7 linked regions of the Kluyveromyces lactis genome follow. Each later gene encodes a partner of the first gene's protein in a complex. Links are inferred from orthologs where the notes say so. Each region holds a gene or a part of one and is shown on either strand. Other genes may lie near its edges. The genes, in order: MHR1, MRPL51, MRPL15, MRPL33, MRP7, MRPL35 and MRPL49.

The links.
Region 2: MHR1 (region 1) and MRPL51 share a complex: the UniProt entries of both Saccharomyces cerevisiae proteins name them as parts of the mitochondrial large ribosomal subunit. The link is inferred for Kluyveromyces lactis from reciprocal best matches to the Saccharomyces cerevisiae genes MHR1 and MRPL51.
Region 3: MHR1 (region 1) and MRPL15 share a complex: the UniProt entries of both Saccharomyces cerevisiae proteins name them as parts of the mitochondrial large ribosomal subunit. The link is inferred for Kluyveromyces lactis from reciprocal best matches to the Saccharomyces cerevisiae genes MHR1 and MRPL15.
Region 4: MHR1 (region 1) and MRPL33 share a complex: the UniProt entries of both Saccharomyces cerevisiae proteins name them as parts of the mitochondrial large ribosomal subunit. The link is inferred for Kluyveromyces lactis from reciprocal best matches to the Saccharomyces cerevisiae genes MHR1 and MRPL33.
Region 5: MHR1 (region 1) and MRP7 share a complex: the UniProt entries of both Saccharomyces cerevisiae proteins name them as parts of the mitochondrial large ribosomal subunit. The link is inferred for Kluyveromyces lactis from reciprocal best matches to the Saccharomyces cerevisiae genes MHR1 and MRP7.
Region 6: MHR1 (region 1) and MRPL35 share a complex: the UniProt entries of both Saccharomyces cerevisiae proteins name them as parts of the mitochondrial large ribosomal subunit. The link is inferred for Kluyveromyces lactis from reciprocal best matches to the Saccharomyces cerevisiae genes MHR1 and MRPL35.
Region 7: MHR1 (region 1) and MRPL49 share a complex: the UniProt entries of both Saccharomyces cerevisiae proteins name them as parts of the mitochondrial large ribosomal subunit. The link is inferred for Kluyveromyces lactis from reciprocal best matches to the Saccharomyces cerevisiae genes MHR1 and MRPL49.

The regions. Positions count from the first base shown.
Region 1 is NC_006039.1:893,436-895,947, forward strand, and holds MHR1 (mitochondrial 54S ribosomal protein mL67), read right to left. Parts: upstream 1,161-2,512; coding exon 501-1,160; downstream 1-500. Other genes in the region: GTPase-activating protein NEL1, read left to right, coding at 1,587-2,512. UniProt on the Saccharomyces cerevisiae protein: Component of the mitochondrial ribosome (mitoribosome), a dedicated translation machinery responsible for the synthesis of mitochondrial genome-encoded proteins, including at least some of the essential transmembrane subunits of the mitochondrial respiratory chain.
Region 2 is NC_006042.1:776,644-778,753, reverse strand, and holds MRPL51 (mitochondrial 54S ribosomal protein mL43), read left to right. Parts: upstream 1-1,181; coding exon 1,182-1,610; downstream 1,611-2,110. Other genes in the region: GCD2 (translation initiation factor eIF2B subunit delta), read right to left, coding at 1,821-2,110. UniProt on the Saccharomyces cerevisiae protein: Component of the mitochondrial ribosome (mitoribosome), a dedicated translation machinery responsible for the synthesis of mitochondrial genome-encoded proteins, including at least some of the essential transmembrane subunits of the mitochondrial respiratory chain.
Region 3 is NC_006039.1:1,528,070-1,530,595, reverse strand, and holds MRPL15 (mitochondrial 54S ribosomal protein mL57), read left to right. Parts: upstream 1-1,300; coding exon 1,301-2,026; downstream 2,027-2,526. Other genes in the region: RNA-dependent ATPase ROK1, read right to left, coding at 1-655; KLLA0_C17380g (uncharacterized protein), read right to left, coding at 2,521-2,526. UniProt on the Saccharomyces cerevisiae protein: Component of the mitochondrial ribosome (mitoribosome), a dedicated translation machinery responsible for the synthesis of mitochondrial genome-encoded proteins, including at least some of the essential transmembrane subunits of the mitochondrial respiratory chain.
Region 4 is NC_006039.1:553,255-555,412, forward strand, and holds MRPL33 (mitochondrial 54S ribosomal protein uL30m), read left to right. Parts: upstream 1-1,403; coding exon 1,404-1,658; downstream 1,659-2,158. Other genes in the region: NGL2 (RNA exonuclease), read right to left, coding at 1-789; KLLA0_C06292g (uncharacterized protein), read right to left, coding at 1,858-2,158. UniProt on the Saccharomyces cerevisiae protein: Component of the mitochondrial ribosome (mitoribosome), a dedicated translation machinery responsible for the synthesis of mitochondrial genome-encoded proteins, including at least some of the essential transmembrane subunits of the mitochondrial respiratory chain.
Region 5 is NC_006042.1:1,140,011-1,143,065, reverse strand, and holds MRP7 (mitochondrial 54S ribosomal protein bL27m), read left to right. Parts: upstream 1-1,460; coding exon 1,461-2,555; downstream 2,556-3,055. Other genes in the region: SGF29 (Sgf29p), read right to left, coding at 91-831; ILV6 (acetolactate synthase regulatory subunit), read right to left, coding at 2,825-3,055. UniProt on the Saccharomyces cerevisiae protein: Component of the mitochondrial ribosome (mitoribosome), a dedicated translation machinery responsible for the synthesis of mitochondrial genome-encoded proteins, including at least some of the essential transmembrane subunits of the mitochondrial respiratory chain.
Region 6 is NC_006040.1:1,119,512-1,122,536, forward strand, and holds MRPL35 (mitochondrial 54S ribosomal protein mL38), read left to right. Parts: upstream 1-1,433; coding exon 1,434-2,525; downstream 2,526-3,025. Other genes in the region: KLLA0_D13068g (M1 family metallopeptidase), read right to left, coding at 1-351; KLLA0_D13079g (uncharacterized protein), read right to left, coding at 643-909. UniProt on the Saccharomyces cerevisiae protein: Component of the mitochondrial ribosome (mitoribosome), a dedicated translation machinery responsible for the synthesis of mitochondrial genome-encoded proteins, including at least some of the essential transmembrane subunits of the mitochondrial respiratory chain.
Region 7 is NC_006042.1:1,309,063-1,311,303, forward strand, and holds MRPL49 (mitochondrial 54S ribosomal protein bL21m), read left to right. Parts: upstream 1-1,258; coding exon 1,259-1,741; downstream 1,742-2,241. Other genes in the region: enoyl-CoA hydratase PHS1, read left to right, coding at 296-940; mitogen-activated protein kinase kinase kinase BCK1, read left to right, coding at 2,059-2,241. UniProt on the Saccharomyces cerevisiae protein: Component of the mitochondrial ribosome (mitoribosome), a dedicated translation machinery responsible for the synthesis of mitochondrial genome-encoded proteins, including at least some of the essential transmembrane subunits of the mitochondrial respiratory chain.

The sequences.
Region 1 (2,512 bases):
TTATGCTAGAAAAACTAAGAAAAACCCGAAGCCTCTAAGGGAAAACAGGATTGTCGTTAAAGAAACACCAGAGAAAACCAGAGAAACGGTGTTAAGGTTTCTCAAATTTGGTCATGTGACATTTTTTTTGCTTTTTCTTTGGTGTCCGGGTTCCTGCTTCTTCTTCCGTTAGGCGTTAATGCATGCATGAGACACATATGGTATGAAGCGGTAGAAAAGTAGAGGAAGTAATATGATGATTACAGAACCTTTGATATTTAGGTTACGTGATGATGGAAACAAGGGAGAAAACTGCTAGTAATCACCTTGTCAAATCAGTTAAACGCCGGTAGTGAGCTGAGGGTTTGTTTATATTATTTACAGAGTCGGATTGTCTGCGGGTTATATATGTACATGTAGTGATTTCTTAAAGACGTGACGAGTGAAGCAGTGAAAGATCTGAGCTCGGCTCAGCTTTTGCAACTGGAAATAGTTTGTATTTGCTTGTTTTCTTTTGTAACTCATAGAGAGATGTTTTGAGCAGCTGACTCCTGTTGTCTCACTCTTGCGAACTCTTCTTTGGCTCTTTCGCCTAGTTCTTTCAAAATTGCACTTTCCTCTCTGGAAACGTTCCCCAAACGTTCTAGTGTTGTGTGATTCAACTCTGGCAATACTGGGTTCCAGTATTTCTCTTTATCCCCCATTCTCCATTCGTCTTCCCAATGGACCTTAATGGACGATTGGACGTCTTTCAACTTTAGGAGACATTCTCGCAAATCGGCAACCGCTTCTTGAGAGTATGTTGGTCTGTATTGCGATGAGTACCATGTGTGGCCGGACTCATTCTTCTTTCTCATGTCTTTTGCCTGTTTACTGAATGTCACATCACGGAGATATCTTAATCTGCACAAATTCTGGTATACTTTTACACTCTTGTCGTAGTCTGGTAGATCAACAACAGCCATACATTTCCAAATATCACGTCTGGTGCTTGGTTTCTTATTCTCCCAGTTGGGTCTTTGGAAATTGGTATCAATTTGCTTCCAAGAAAAAGTCGGGAATTGAGAGTACAGCACTTGTCCACTCTCTAGGTTTCTGAATAAAAAGACTTGTGGTGCATACCCTGCTTTCTGTAGCCAGTTGGCTGGACGGAACTTGGTAATAGCTAAATGCTTGCTCATCTCTTCCTAGTGCCCTATGGTGTCTTCAAGCCTTATTTGTTAACAACAAAAGCCTTGATCCTCAGAGTTCTCTTCTATCTCCAGTGCTATTGATGGACTTCTGAAGAGTTATTTAAATACAATGTGTGCACAAATGTGGTGATCTCTTCTGTAATCAAGCTAAACTAACTATCAGCTTTCTCTTTTTCAAAATTTTTCAGCTTTTTCAGATGCCATAAACAACTTCGTAGAAACACTGAAAATTAAAGAGAATGAACCTAATATATACATTACCCGGATCTTGTGATGATATTGAATTCTCCGCTACCTGCTCTATCTTATCTTGGATCTCATCTCCAGAGAAAGGTTTTCCTATCAGCAGACACGCACAGTAGAGTTATCACCTTCATCCGTCAAGTGTCCGCATATTCCACCATCTAGAACTTGATGTTTGAATTGAATTATGGAGCCGTTCCTACGTCCCGGACAGATTGCTTAGCTAGAGTTCTCGATTGTGGAGATGATAACCGTGGATCGATAAGTGCCATTTGTGAGCCGGACTTGACAATTGACGGGAATTCAAGCCTAGCAAGCAGTGAGAATTATACCAATTGTAAAATCTGTGGAGGGTTTGCGAATTTTTTATGTTCAAGAGATTCACGAGCTGGGTGGTTTTGTTCTTTTTGTAATGCTTATAATGAACTAGGGAATATTCCATTATCATCGTCATACCTAAAACATTTAGGAACTGCTGCTGTGCCTACGCATTCCAAGTTCGCCATAATCATCGATCTTAATTGTGAATTTGAGGAAAATCTAGACGCGTTGAAGATGTTACAATTTGGTTCTGTCCAGTCATTGGCCCTGATCACGATTGAAGATGGGTCTGTCACTATTCATACTGACGGGTCACACATTACCGTAGATGCAGAATCTAGTAGTTGTATCAGCCATCTTAAGAAGCTTGACACAGAATGGTTCATTGCAAAGTATGGGCTTTTAGTGAGGAAGATTTGGACGGACCAAATATCTTTCGGTGCTAAACTCGCGGAACTTCTATGTCAACGGACTAGGTCAAAAAAAAGATGTAGAAGAAACACTGCACTCGCTATTTTTCTAGCACAATGTCTAAACCCATCACAATCCATTGCATTTGTTTTCGGACCCTGTACAGTAGCACCAGGTAAGGTTATCTCAATGGACCGAAAAAATCATATCAGGCAGCATAGAAATATAGAGGAAGACAAGGATGTGAAATATTGGAAACCTTCTAGAGAATTTTACAATAAAATGAGTAAGTCCTTAAAGTTTGCTCCATGCACGGTATTCGTCGCATCCATGGATCAGGTCGGAATATGGGAGATGAGATCCTG
Region 2 (2,110 bases), on another chromosome or scaffold:
GGTGTTCAATCTTTAATTAATCTGAAGGAAAACTATGTATATTAAGAATTCTTCAATGACATGAAATAAAGGTGCAAGTAAAAGGTATGAAAATGGTAGTAAAAAAGTGCCATTTGCTGCCCTTCTTATATAATACAAATGTTACTTTGGACACGCTAATAAACTCTTAACACCTTATAAGTATTTACCGTTGATGAATTACCAAGTTCCAGTTAATTAGTATGGTATTCTTCTGCTTTTTTCCCTAAATTTTTTTGTCGCATTTTATACTGCATCGTTGAAACGCTTCAGTGAACGCCGTAATAAATTAAAGAAACGGATACAAACCTTGACTGTTCGCTACTTACAAGTGAATGTTTTTTAGGGGTGGTCATCGTTATACGCATCCTTAAAAAAACGCATAGAACTTTAATTTTTCAATAGTTATAGGGACATTATACGCACCATAATGATAAACTGGTGACTATTATGGCAATACATTTGCCTGTTCTTGAACAAAGTGTCATACACTTACATCACACTTAATAGGGAGTGCCCAGTTAATTGGTTTAAATGACGCATGTGCATAATTTTTTTAACAAATTACTAGTGTGCATCCAACATACGCTAGGTGTCAATCCGTACATTCCATGGGTGAACGCAAATCAGGCCCTTTATTTAATTAACCTCATATGAAGCCTTTGGGACATCTTGGATCAGAATCTGGGGCCTCTATCGTACTTTCTATGGATTTGCTCAGTAAAAGTACCCTTAACCAAACGCTGGTAGTGCATTATTGTCATAACCCATCGACAGATCATCAAGTTTACATGACGTATGACATCTCATGAGGATGTGTTGACATAGCAATGTGAAAGAAACAGAATATAGTCGGAAAGAGGTTCTGTATTATTTACATTCGTCACCTTATAGCAGTGTTGGTACCAGTATCTTTTTCATTTGTGTGAGCATGTGGTGAATTGTCCTCCTACCTTCGAATACATACAGATTTGTTCACGTGACTGATGGTCTTTTGAAATTGGAAAAAAATAATCATGAACTGAAAACTCGAATAAAACTCAAAAGATATATTAGTGAATCTATGTTCTGCATCTGAAGGATCTCTCCACAGTTTCAAAATACACCCAACTTGTTTTCTAATCAGAGCTGGTACCCGCGGTCATAAAGATTTCTCTGAAGTAATGGTTGTTAAAGTTTTGAGACAAACTTCTATCGCAAGAAATGGTGTTGGCGCTTTTGTGCTTCCATGTAAAAAGATCACTTTGCAATACTGTAATTGGGGTGGTTCCTCACAGGGTTTGAGAGATTTCCTAACGTCTAACAGAATGATTCAATGGGCTGAAAAATATCCAACAATACAGTTCGAAATAGTAAGAAAGTCTGGCCATCCAGTTATAAAAGGTGACTATGTTAATGGCCGTAATAAAGCCATCTGCGTAAAAAATCTGAACATTGATAATGTAGAGAATAAGTTAAAACTAATCAGAGACGCATCTGGTGAGCAACTCCGTCACAGAACTAAGAACGACAATGTGGATACTTTGAACGATAGTGTGAGAGGTATCTGGTCTCCACTACATTTAAGCCCAGCCATCAGACACAAGGTTTGAATCGAAAAAATGACTTGTGAATGGTAATATCGAGATCATAGCTTAACTTGTACATATATATAGCAATATCCTCGATGAAGCCGATACCTAAGTAAACAACCTACGATGTTGAATATTACTACGCAATTAATAAAAAAGAAGATCTATACTAATTTTTCATTTACTATATTATATGATATTATCGTATATTATATATGCAAAGGGCTCCATTCAAGCTGATGCTTTGTATTCTCTAAGAACCACGGGAACAGAAGATGGTGGCAACGAACCAAATTCTGTAATGATCTTCTTGATGTAGTCAGGGGGTGTTAAATCGTACATTATATTGAAGATGTGCAAATTAGGTGATTTCTCCCACTCTGCTAGTATTGGTTTATCCTTGACATTCTTACCTTCGTCGGCAGTAGCATTATTGGTATTAGCACTGCCAGATTTATTATTTTGCTTAGAGCTATTCTCGACTTCCTTCTGCTGCGCTTCACGCTCTTTGATAAATTGCT
Region 3 (2,526 bases), about 630 kb from region 1:
TCTGGTTCGCAAGTTCTTTTGTTGGGGATATAATTAAACCTTTAAGACCAACTGTGGTTTTATCGTTGATTATCTGTTGCAGTAGTGGGATCAAAAATGCCAACGTTTTACCAGAACCTGTGGGAGCACAAGCGATCATGTCACGTTCATGCAACAAAATCGGTATAGATTCACTTTGAATCGGAGTTGGTTCAGTGAAGTTATTTTCTATGAGGTTGTTTAACAATCTCTTATCGAATTGGAACCTTGTGATCAAGTCTTCAAAAGAACCGATGGGCAAAGGAACACTATTCCCTGAAACATTCCCTTGATAAGATTTACGTAACTTTAACGCATCTTGTTTCGTGATAATTTTCCCGGATAACTCAGTCTCGTCATCAGCATGATCTTCGTCTTCTTCTTGATTATCTTCTTGTACTTCGTCTTCACCTTCACCTTTGGTTGACTCAGACTTTACCTTATTCATGATTTTCTTATTACGGAAAAAATCCAACTCCTTAGTCAATTGTTGTTCATCTCTAGCTGGTGTACTTGAGCTGCCAGCTGTCTTACTCTTCTTTTCATTAGCCATGCTAAAGTCTGCAGACTGTGTTCTATTAGAATCACCATTCTTCCTTATGCTAGCTCCACGAGTCAAGACTCTAAAGATATCCATGTTAATTAGCGGTGCTAGTATTGGCCTGTGAGAAGTTACTTAGTAATGAGAATAAATTCGATAGTAAACCACTGTGAGTGATATAATCAATCTCTTACTACTCTCTCATCTCATCTCATCTCATCTCATCGCCTACATCTAATTGCAGTTTTTTCAATTAAAATTGATCTTACTGAAGCGTTTCTTTTCACAAAACTTAGGGTACAATAAGTGTAAAAATCGATATAAAAGTACTTCTCAAGGCATAAAGATGCAGCAAAGCTTACTTTAAGATACAGCTGGTATTAAGCCCTCATAATACCAGCCCATAATGACCATATTCCCTTGATAACAGTACCTAATGCCTTGATATTGCATGTATTCCCATCATACAAGATAGCACTTAGACACAGCGATGACCTCGTTTGGAGTGATCTGAAAAATTTTGAAAAATTTCAAAATTTGGATCGCTGCCTCGAGTCGAAAAACTACAAAGAAACAGTTTGAATCGTAGTTAAAAGGACTAAACTGTTAGAATTAAGATTCAATAATTCTAATATTTGTGTCCTGTGTAATTACAATCTGTTGATATTCGGTCGAGGAAGATTGAATTGTGAAAATACCAGACAGAAACCATTCAGACAGTATTTTTTTACTTCTGGAATAATGTCCTTAACCAAAATTGGTCTTAACTTAAGCACAAAATTCGGCGTGCGTAATGGTTCTTATCTACACGTTGGGACTAGGGTACGTGGTTTGAAAAGAGACCCAGTTGAGTCTTTGAAGAATCCACACGGTTTGCACTATGATTCTCTTGTCAAGGATGGCCATGTATCTACTGTTAAGCAAGGTTTGAATTTGGAAAAATATGGTATTGACTTGCCAGACGACATCATTACACAATGTTTGACTCACAAGTCGTTTGCCCAAGGTATTAAACCATACAATCAGAAATTGTCTATTATCGGTGGTCATTTTGTGAAATATCAAGCTTGTCTTCATTCCTTGGGTCTACCTGTTTCTGAAAGGCAACTATCACAAAGCGTACAGTCTGAACCTGTTATTAACGGACTAAATTTCGGTATGCTTGGGAAGGGAAGTTCTAAAATGTTAATATCCAAACAGAGTACGGCTGAATTTTTGCAAAGGAGAAACCTAGATAAATTAGTGTTTTGGAACAAACGAGACACTCAAAAAAGTCACAAATATAACGGTGAGTATACCGTGCTACAAACTGTGCTAAATTCTGTGGTCGGCAGTGTCTATCTATTGCACGGTCAAGACAAGGCCACCGAATACGTGTTGCATGAACTATTCAGCGACAATAGTGATTCCCTAACGAAGATATCTGAAAGTTTGTTAGCAAACAGGGATACGACCGAGAAGTTATAATATTATGTCTAATTTTACACGACAGGAAAGAAAGAGAAATGGAATACACAATAGACTTCGACATCAATAAAAAGCACTCGAGTGAATGGTCTCCATCGGAGTTGGGAAAGAGCTTTCAAAACTTGTATATATATATTTCGAAACGGAAGTTTCAATCACAGCTCTTGGTCAATGTGGTGTTTTAATCTACTCTTTCATCCCTGCTCAATTTCAACGTTTTATTATAATGAATTTACCAAAAGCATGAAAAGCATAACCTTTTAACGACACTCCATCGTCACACTTCAATTAAAAATGAACCTCGAAAGAAACGCGCGCACTGTATATATCTCATGTATCTCTAGAAATATAGACGTACATAAATTTACAACTAAATCTATCATTAATTAAATGTTAACATACAAAATAAAAACAGATTAAGAAAAGTACATAATACAATACATGTATATAAATACATATATAACTTCATAGAAGGGATGTTTTTTGCTGGTAATTTACTT
Region 4 (2,158 bases), about 340 kb from region 1:
ACCAATAATTATACCACTGACTTTGGTGTCTGGATATTTTTCTAGCACTTTCTTTTTAAACTTCAAAGAAAGCAACATGCCAACATTTTTGGTAGTTGTTCTTGGTTCAATGGCACCTGTTGTTTCTTTGTCGTAGTCAATTAACATCTTATCTGTCATATCAAATAGATCTTCTTTCCAAGCAATTAATACTCCGTGGTTTTTGGTAGGATTAAAATGGAATTGACACATGTAACCTAGTTTTGTGAACTCCATTTTCCAGAAAGACTTGTATTGAACCGTGTCAATTTCTTGCAAACACAGTACGTCAACATTGTAATATTTGAATTCATTGAGTAAAACTTGAGATCTTTTAAACCATTTAACAGCATTTCCGCTCGTAGGAAACAGTGTTCTTCTAATCAAAGCTTGGGCAAGACAATTATACGTCATTATACTGATTGGACATACCTCTCTCGTCGATTGGCCTGATGAATCTCGAGGAACAGCTAACATCGGCCTTTTGATAAATCTAAGGTCTGCGGGCAATTTTGGATCTATACCTTGAGCAATAAGAGCCTCTTTTTTTGCTATTTTCGCAGCTTCTCTCTTAGCTCGCATCTCAGCGATATACTCTGGAGTGATCTCATTCAAGGCCTTGCCTTTTTTCTTACTTTTCTTGTCCTTTACTTTATTCTTACCTTCTACCTTCAACTGGTCCATCCCATCAGTAATCGATAGCTTTTTTGCTTGTTCCACAAGCTCTTTTGGAACGTCTTTGACGCCGGTGTCTTGCGTACTACCAGCCATATTGGCTCAAATTATTACTTCTACTTTGCAGTGTATAGTGGCGATATAAACCTTAGAGAGATCTAACCAACCATGGCGTTAAGAGCTTGTTAATATGATATATATATATATTATTCAATCGGGCATAAATATTGGAAAAAAAGAAATGACATATATATATATATATATATACATAACCAAGCAAATGCCCCTCCTAAGACAATTTCAATGCAACTTCATATTCAGGAAGAAATATTCAAACAGCGAGATATAATCTTGAGATCTTTATATGCAATTCCTGGTTCTTTCTCAGTAGGTAGCACTTTCCTGCGACGGTTTGTGAGAAGTGCCCAAATGACATACGCGATGAGCTGCTAGACAATATACATCACATGATATCACTTTATACGTTTTGATGCTATTTGAAAAATCAATGTACGTTGGCTATTAATGGTTTGAATACCCAGTTAATCTCTTCGATAATGATGCACAAGATCTCTTAAAAGAGCGTTTTTTTTTGACATAGTTCTCTATATTGTCAACGAAACTTACGACCGAGGAAATTATACTTCATTACTGGTATTAGCGAACGGTTTCTAAAAGCATAGCTATCATAATAATTTTCAAAGATAGCCATGGTTTTCTACAGAATTACATTACAGAGGTCAGTCATTGGTACTCCACAGAAGACTAGGGCAGTGGTCAAGAGTTTAGGACTCGGAAAAAGAGGATCTGTCGCATATCAACCAGCTACACCATCTATTGCAGGTGCTGTCGCTCAGATAAAGGAGCTTGTGAGCGTTGAGCTTGCCGATAAAGCTTTAAGTAAGGCAGAACAGCGTGAGCTAAGAAAATCAAATCCTGGATTTACTGTCGAAAAGAGAGTATAGAAAGGATCATACCAGACAATATAACAAACAAAGCAATGTACCAGAAACATTTAACAGAGAAGAAACTGGGCTCACAATGAACATCTTCTGTTTTACATAAAGAAAAGGATATTAGGATTTTCATGTATATAGAGATCAAAGAAATATTAATCTTATTCTAATGAGGTATTTGAGAGTATCATATACCAAACGTCTTTATTTAGAAGACACCGGTGACTTCTCTGGTGAGAATATTCCTAGGCTGTTTCACGTATTCGTCGTCACCATCTTCACCATATTCATCATCGTCAAATGCCACCGAGAACGAATCTACAATTCTGAAGATATCATTTTTATTCATAGCTTTTCCATCAAAACTTAGTTCTATACTGTCATTTGCCGAAAAGAATTGATTTTCTTGAGCCAGCAATTGATCAACTCTATTGTACAAATGTTTTGTTTTAGGTCTTTGTGGTAACCTTTGAACACTCATATTCTGGGAGATATATTTGCTCAAAACA
Region 5 (3,055 bases), on another chromosome or scaffold:
ATTTAATGTTCTTTCATAATTTTTTTTTCTTTATTGTTACAGGCTATGGAAAATTACATACATTTCGTGAACGTGATATAATTAAGAAACTCATCGTCTAGAGGGGAAAGGAAGAACTAATCTTCTTTCCACCTCAGTCTCCTTGTCTATTTCCTCTTCACCGTCGAATCGTAGCTTACATGTCCCATCTCTTTTGCTTCCGCAAACAATAGCTGGATAGAAAGTCGTTGTTTCTGGATATCTTGCCAAAACTTTTGTATTCGCTGGATAATTCGGAGTCTGGGTTCTTTTCATAGTCACGGGCGGGATCAAGAGGATCTCTTTCGAGTTACATTTGAATATACCACCTGGTTTCCCAAATTCATCGGGTTCTGGATCTTTCACTTCAAACCGGAGTCCGTCCCCAGAAACTTTTGTGCATATGCACTGGATCCATTCGCCAGTCTTTTTAGATTTATATGCAACTTCGGAACCAACCTCAATTGGTTCACTTGGGTTGAATTGACTGGTCCAATGTGATCTACCAACAACACTCGATTCAGGGATATGCGTCGAACTGGATTCCTCCTTTAATATAGGTTCCTCTTCCACTGGATAATTATCTAATATGTATGAAATGTTCTCTACCAAATCTCTGCAGTAATTTCTCATCTTTTCATTTACAGACTGACGAGCCTCTAATTTCTCATGGATATCAGCCAATTGATTCAAATTCATATTCTGGAAATTCATATTCTTCGGATCTAAAGACTCAAACCCCGCAATATCTCCTATTTTATATAGATCTTGTAATTGAGTCACGGCAAGACCCCATCTATCTTCCGTTGCCATTTTCGCTAGAATCACTGATATATTTTGTTTTATTTTTTTTTTATCTATGGGCTGTCGGTTCTTAGTATTCCTATTTCAATTAGATAATATGGGCTTCACCAGCACGATAATTAATTTGGGAAACTTCTATAAATGGACGTCCTGTTTATTCAAACGTAAATCTGAAAGGTGAAGACTTCTTTTCGATGCAAGCAGTGTCGGTTTCTTGATGTTTTGTACTTAGAGAAATATGAGTTTTTCGTGCTGGAAGAGAACATCAAAACGTATATAGTGATGGTAGATCTTTAATTGGAACCTCAGTTTCGAATAACTTTGACGTGAATTAGACGTTTACTCCTTCTCAAGCATGAAAAATTCACTATGGTATCGAAAGAACTCTCAGCAATAGATGAAATTGGTAAAATGTATAAATCAATACTTTCAACTCTTAAACAGTCAGTTACACGAACCTTCGAAGGGCTATATCTTGTTGGATTTCGTTGTTACCCTACCTTACAATCCGCCATACTGTGGAAAATTTTTGTCACTAAAATCCTATCTTAAATACATTAAGTACAGATACACGCAGAAATACAGTTACTGTGACATTGCTTGATACTGTTCGGACCAGGCCTACGAAACAACGCATAATGTTCTCATCTTCGTGGCAACAAGTTCCCAAGTTTGTGGTGCAGCAGGTGCGTACTGCAACCAAGCGTGCAGCAGGTTCTCGTACCAGTATGAAGGACTCTGCTGGTCGTAGATTGGGTCCAAAAAAATACGAGGGTCAAGCCACTCAAGTTGGTGAGATCATCATGAGACAACGTGGTACCAAGTTTTATCCTGGTGAAAATGTAGGCATCGGTAAAGATCATACGCTTTTCGCTTTGGAGCCGGGTTATGTGAGATACTATTTGGATCCATTTCATCCAGGTAAGAAATTCATTGGTGTATCATTATACAAGGATGTAAAGCTTCCTTTGCCGCATTTCGAACCACGTTTGAGAAGATTCGGCAAGGCCATCATTGAGGATGAAGAGAAAGCCATTGCAGAAGAGAACGCTTTACCAAGAAAGATTTATTTGCTGAAGGATGAATTGATCAAGAAACAGCAAGAACGTGAGATTAAACGTGAAGAGTTGAAGGCAGAATACAGCAAGATAATTTCAGATCTGAAAGTTGAGCTGGATCAACAAGAACTTGCGTTTGCATTACCATATTTGCTCAGATGGAGAACTTGTTTGAAGAATGGGTTCAATGAATCCGATGCCCGATTTAATTCGTACTACTATTTGGAACAAGAACTTAAATTGAAGATGAGAAACCAAGAAAAATCTAAGTTGGACGACAAACTAACATTGTTGAAACAGGTCTCGACCAAATTGAATGAATCATTGTCATTTAACAACAAGCTTGAATTAACTAAATACATTTCTCCAGAAGAAAAGAATACTCTAAAGACACAACTAATTACTGATTTGAAGGCAATTGATATTAAGGACAAGAACAGTAAGAAGCAAGTACTAGCCAAGTTTACTGATGCAAAGAACTTCTTGACGTTATCTGAAGAGGTGAGACTACGCAGAAAATTCTTGAAGCCAGTGAAACCAGAAACAGAATTGAAGAAATTGGAAGAACCACTCAAACCTTCCAAGAAAAATCTAACCACCAGACGTTACAACTACGAACAAAACACGATAGATGTCATTACAAGACCAAAGACCGATTTCTTGAGCAAATTGTAAATCTTCCCCAAGTCGTTACGTAACAAACCATTTAGAGCCTTGTACATATTAACAAAAGAACCACAACAATCATCATAGTTTAAACTGAAAAAAACGAAAGTTTTTTAGAGACTATATATCATTTGGAAAGGTTAATTCCATATTATATCGTTAACGTATTTAATTTGTCTATATGTGTGAGACAAAATCCAAAACATACTCTTACATTACTATTTTTTTGATATTGGATTGTTTTGAGGTACAAAACTATGGCAGGTGAGCCCTTTGGATCAACCAGGAGGCAATTGAGAGATATCAACGATGTCATTCATCTTGCTTTGAGCATCATCTTCATCACCGACAGATAAATGGGTTCTTGGTAGAGCCATCATACCTGATCTTGCCACTTCCAAGATACCGAAAGGTTCCACAAGTTTCAAGAATGCAGAGATACGGGATGGTTTAGCACATAATTCCACAATACAACTTTGTTCAGCGATATCAACAATCTTACCACCAAA
Region 6 (3,025 bases), on another chromosome or scaffold:
GTAGAATCCAGACATATTAGTCTGAATCATACCCTTATAATCGATCTTCAACACGAATTCATCATCAGATATACTCTCCGGAAATTTCAAGGAAACAACATCGTTCTCTAAATCGAAACTATGGTCCTTCATTCCCAAAGACACAGACCCCTCTTTCAGTTCAACCACCGCAGAAACGATCTCAATGTCCCTCATATTCAATGAAATCATGTCATTGGCATTAACAGTGGACATAATAATACGCACGGATCCGATAAATGAATTGTGCTCAGCATCTAACTCACTCAATTCAATCTCATAATGGTTGGCCCTAAAGTCGGTTGGTAGAGTTTGAATCTTAACGTCAGCCATCTTTCAGTGAATCAGGTATAAACTATTCCAATACCTAATTGGTTCTCTGGATATATCACCCCAGTTGTCTTATATAGTGAAAAATCCAATATGAAATCAAAGAGTAGGTGTCATTCAAAGCTTTATCAAAGGTCTTAAGTGTTATCAATCTGTTTTCGTCAATGTGTCAAAATTTTTTTCTACCTTCCCTGCTGAAAAGCTCAGAAGTGAGCGTAGAAATTTTGATATAAGACGGAGTAGTATGAAAAGAGAAGCTCCTCCATTATCCAGCAGCACAACTGCTCATACGTTTCACCTCTTGTGTAGTTTTGGCAGTAGTTTCTTTGACCTATTAAACATTTTGCGCAGTATTGAAGAAGACCGTCTCTTTAGCTGATCTCCGACATCAGAGTCAATTGAGTCGCTTATATCAGAATCGGAGCTGAACATAGAGGGAAAAGCTCTCTCTGTTGGAGTTTGTGTATCAAACTGCGAGTAAACTTGAAGTTTAGATATTAGTATGGTAACTGCCTCGACATCGTGCCTTAACTCTGTAGAATTCGGTTCTGAACCGTTCATATTTGATTTAATAAGCTTTTGAATATTATACAGGATAATACAGGGAATGAGAAGTAAACCTACAATGCTGATTGGCAAAGGGTCTTTATACCAGGAAAAAGTTGAGGCATCTTGTCTTTACAGATCTGAAACAATGTCGCGATGAGCATTCTCATATAAGATTCGTCGTTTCAAACATAAATGATCATTATAATCCGCATATAGGAAAGGGAAGAAGAAAATATACAAAGAAAGATGGATATGATGGGTTCGCTGGATCAGAAGAGCGTCATTTGCAACATATGAAACCGAATGGCAGTCTCAAAGGCAAAGCTTACCAGTTATTGATCTCTGAACTTCCACTTGGAGCGAGAGGCACGATCTTCTGTTACCCGGACTGAAACACATTAAAATTTTTTGGTGAAAAATCGATTTCGAACGATTCAGATGAGTTTTAAGTATGAACGGACAATGAAGATACATGAATAATCAGTTGTAGGATCCCATTGGAGGGTGTTTCAGAGACTAACAACTCGAATTGGAGAATGTTGCGTAGAGGGTTGCACAGCAGTGCCAAATGTTTAGAGAAAACCGGGGTATGGTCGGACTTTTCTAAGAGATCCAAGTCGCTTGGTTTAGCATCAGAATCGATTAAGAAATACATCTTTCAAGGCGACAGCGATGACGTTAGAAGACGAGGTCCACCGTCTTTGAAGCGGAGGATGAACCGTTTGAAGTATACCTCTCCTGAACATATTGATGAGATGTTCCGCTTGAGTTATGAGTTTATGAGTAAGCGCGCTGAAGAGAAGTATTCGCAACTAGAAAATGAGACTGATGCCAAGGTACGTGCTAAGTTAGAAACAGAGGCTGAATTGCATAACCCAGAGGTCCAATACAATTTTCAGTATCATGACAAGTTAGAGAACGATACTAGAGTGATAGATTATGCTGTTCCAGTGTACAGGCGTTTGGGGCTGAAGCATTGGGAATCCTACGAAAAAATGTTGTTAATGCAAAGACTAGAGACTTTGAGTGTAATCCCCGATACGTTACCTACTTTACAACCAAGAGTACAGGTTAATTTACGTTTCCCATTCAGTACTGGTGTGAACAAATGGGTTGAACCTGGTGAAATTTTGTCCTCCAACACGACTTCGATGGTTCCAACAATTAAGATTCAAGAGTACGAGAACGGTATCGACTTCGAAAAGCAAAAATACACTGTGGTAATTGTGAATCCAGATGAACCGGATGTGTTGAATGATACATTCAAGACGACTTTGGCGTTCGGTTTGACTAATTTAAAGATAGACTATAACGACAACGTGGTAGATCCAAGAAAATACAATGAATCGCAGATTCTTGCAGATTACATTCCTCCAGTACCTGAGAAAAATGTTGGCAAGCAAAGGTTCTCTGTATGGGTATTCAGACAGAATGGTGATTTGGAATCCCCTGAACCAGTCGATAGAGAAAACTTCGATATTAGAGAATTTGTTCGTTCCCACAACTTGGACCCGGTTGGTGCTCATGTTTGGAGATCAGAATGGGATTCTAACGTGGCAAACATTAGAGAGAAATACGGATTACCAGAAGGGAGAGTGTTCCATAGAGTTCGTAGATCTGTTGTATGAAAAAAAAAATGAAAGTTTCCAGAAAGAGTTTATTTCCTCCTCGTCTCTCTCGCGATATATATGATTACACACTTTTCAACAACCTCAGGTGGTCTGAATAATATCTCATACCTCATGTAAATAATATGCAATGTAGAAAATCAATGCAACATACGCAAATCATAAAAAAAACTAAAAAGCTTGTTCGAATCTATTAAGAATATGATCATTAGTTAACATTTATTCCCGGTAACATAATAAATTATATAGTAATAATACGGTGTATGGTGCGTGCGTTCATGTGCGTCTGTTTTTTTGGACTGCCTCTGATTGAATATTTTCCTAGAGGCTATATATAGAATCTTCTTTTTTTTTGGCTGTTTCTTCTTCATATGTTATTGTATTGGCTGTAAATCTAATCGTAACAAAAAAAAGGATTCGTGAGGTCTTTCGTTCTTAGTCGAGGAAAGCAGATATAACTCTTGTTGTCATCATTTCTTGTTGACTACCAGAATTCAAAC
Region 7 (2,241 bases), on another chromosome or scaffold:
CTCTGTTTATCGTTAGTTCAAGTAGTAATAATATTAATAATAGTAATAGTAATAATAACATACGAGTAACACTAATTCAAATCTTAATTCTCATGTCATCAATACATACTGCAATTTGTTAATTTGGGTATTGTTGGATTTCTCTTCCTTTTCGTCTCAATGCATCACTTAATTTTATGAATCTGAAACCATGAATTCTTGTTATTGACAAAAACTGGTCTGTTTAGAACCGAACTGGATCTTAATAAATTGAACCCCGAAGTCCAAAGAGCCCACCAATACACTTTCACACCCAATGGCATCATCTAAGGCTTCTATCTTCTCCTTCCTTCCTCTTTACAACCTACTTTCTGCTTCTGCCTGGGCTTATGTCCTATATCAAGTCGTGACCCTTTACCCAAAGATCGGTCAACCAAGTTTCTTTATTGCTACCAAGGATTTAGTCACGTACGTTCAATGCGGTGCTATAATTGAAGTCACAAATTCTTTGTTTGGAATAGTCCGTGCTCCGCTAGTGACCACTGCTGCTCAAGTGGCCTCTCGACTCTTGGTAGTCATCGGTATCTTCCAGTATGTGCCGGAAGCAGAAAATGCGCATAAAATATATTACATCACGTTGTTGTCGGCATGGTGTATTGCTGAAATAGTGAGGTACATGTTCTACTTCTTCAACTTGGTGGCTCAAGCGCCTACTGTACTTGTTGTATTGAGATATAACATGTTTTACGTGCTATATCCATTGGGCGTCGGCAGCGAATTGTTCATAATTTATTCTGCATTGCCGTTGGCTGAAGCAAAATACAATATCTTGTACAAGTATTTCTTAATTGCAGGTATGCTAGCCTACATTCCAGGGTTCCCGGTGCTATTCTCACACATGGTTGCCCAAAGAAGGAAGGTCATGAGATCCTTGAACGGTGATAAACGCAAATCTGCATGAATTGTCACAGGATTAAAAGAATAGTTTGACTCATGTATAAAAGTTCTGTAACATTTGTAACATACCCGAATGAATGCACAAATGAAACGACGCTGTCCCTTGGCGTGGCCGTTGGCTCTTCCTTCTCATGACTGTGTGTGTGCCCTACTTTTCACGTCACGTCACGTGACTGACATCAACACTTAACTCTCGAAGGCTCAAAAAATTTTCTGTTGAAACAGTATACGACTAGTTGAACAACATTTAAGACAAGTGAGAAGAAGCAGATTGAAAGGGCTATTGCATCTGCCAATTGTCGTTCGAATCAGTGCAGAAACGATGTTCAAGAATATCAGTCATATGTTTGCCCTCCCAGTAAGGCAAATGGTGGGTTTCAGCCCATTTCTTCAACCTTTGAAGAGAAGTTTCATCAGAACAACACACTCGGTAGCAGAAAAAGCGAAGGTGAATTTAACGCCGTTGAAGTTATCCAATGAGCTATATGCCGTATTCAGAATACACAACAGACCATACTTGGTGACAGAAGGAGATAAGGTTATCTTACCGTTTAAACTGAAGCAAGCAGAGGTCGGCGATGTGCTAAATTTGACTGATGTGACTACCATTGGTTCTCGTAACTTCAAGCTCGTGGACGAACCTATTGATCCATCTCTATACACTATTAAGGCTACAGTTCTTGAGAAGACAAAACGCCCGCTTAGAGTGAGAGAAGTTACCAAGAGAAGAAACAGGAAAGTGCGTCATGCGGTCAATAAAGCCGATTTGACTATTCTGAGAATATCCGAGCTAAAAGTCAATTAATGAACTAACCCTCCTACAAAATCGTGTAAATAAAAGTTTAATATAATGTTAGGTCGTTATAGATCGATTAGAAATACTATACCATCTAGTAACTATGTTTTAGTGGCAGCATCTCATCGAATTTGTTAGAAACGTTTACCGTTTTAGAGAATAGATATAAATTCAAATAGAAACAATTGTAATTAATACCATTTTAATCGTTAATAAAGAGGGGAGAAAGACGATAAGAGAAGAGCTTAGTGCAACAATTACTGGGTATCGATACTTTAGTATCTGATAAGTAAAGTCCCGCTAAATATAGATGAACCGTGGATGATATGTCTTTCTTGAAGAAGAAGAGTAGCACTGCTGGACATTCAAGGTCAGGATCTGCCTCATCTATACTCAACAAACATGTTGATCCTGCCAATATCAGTGAGTTTTATCCATCGTCATTGGATCACAAGGTGACCAGTGGTTTGAAGAACGATTATAGTTTTGATTCCAGCAGCAAGGGATCC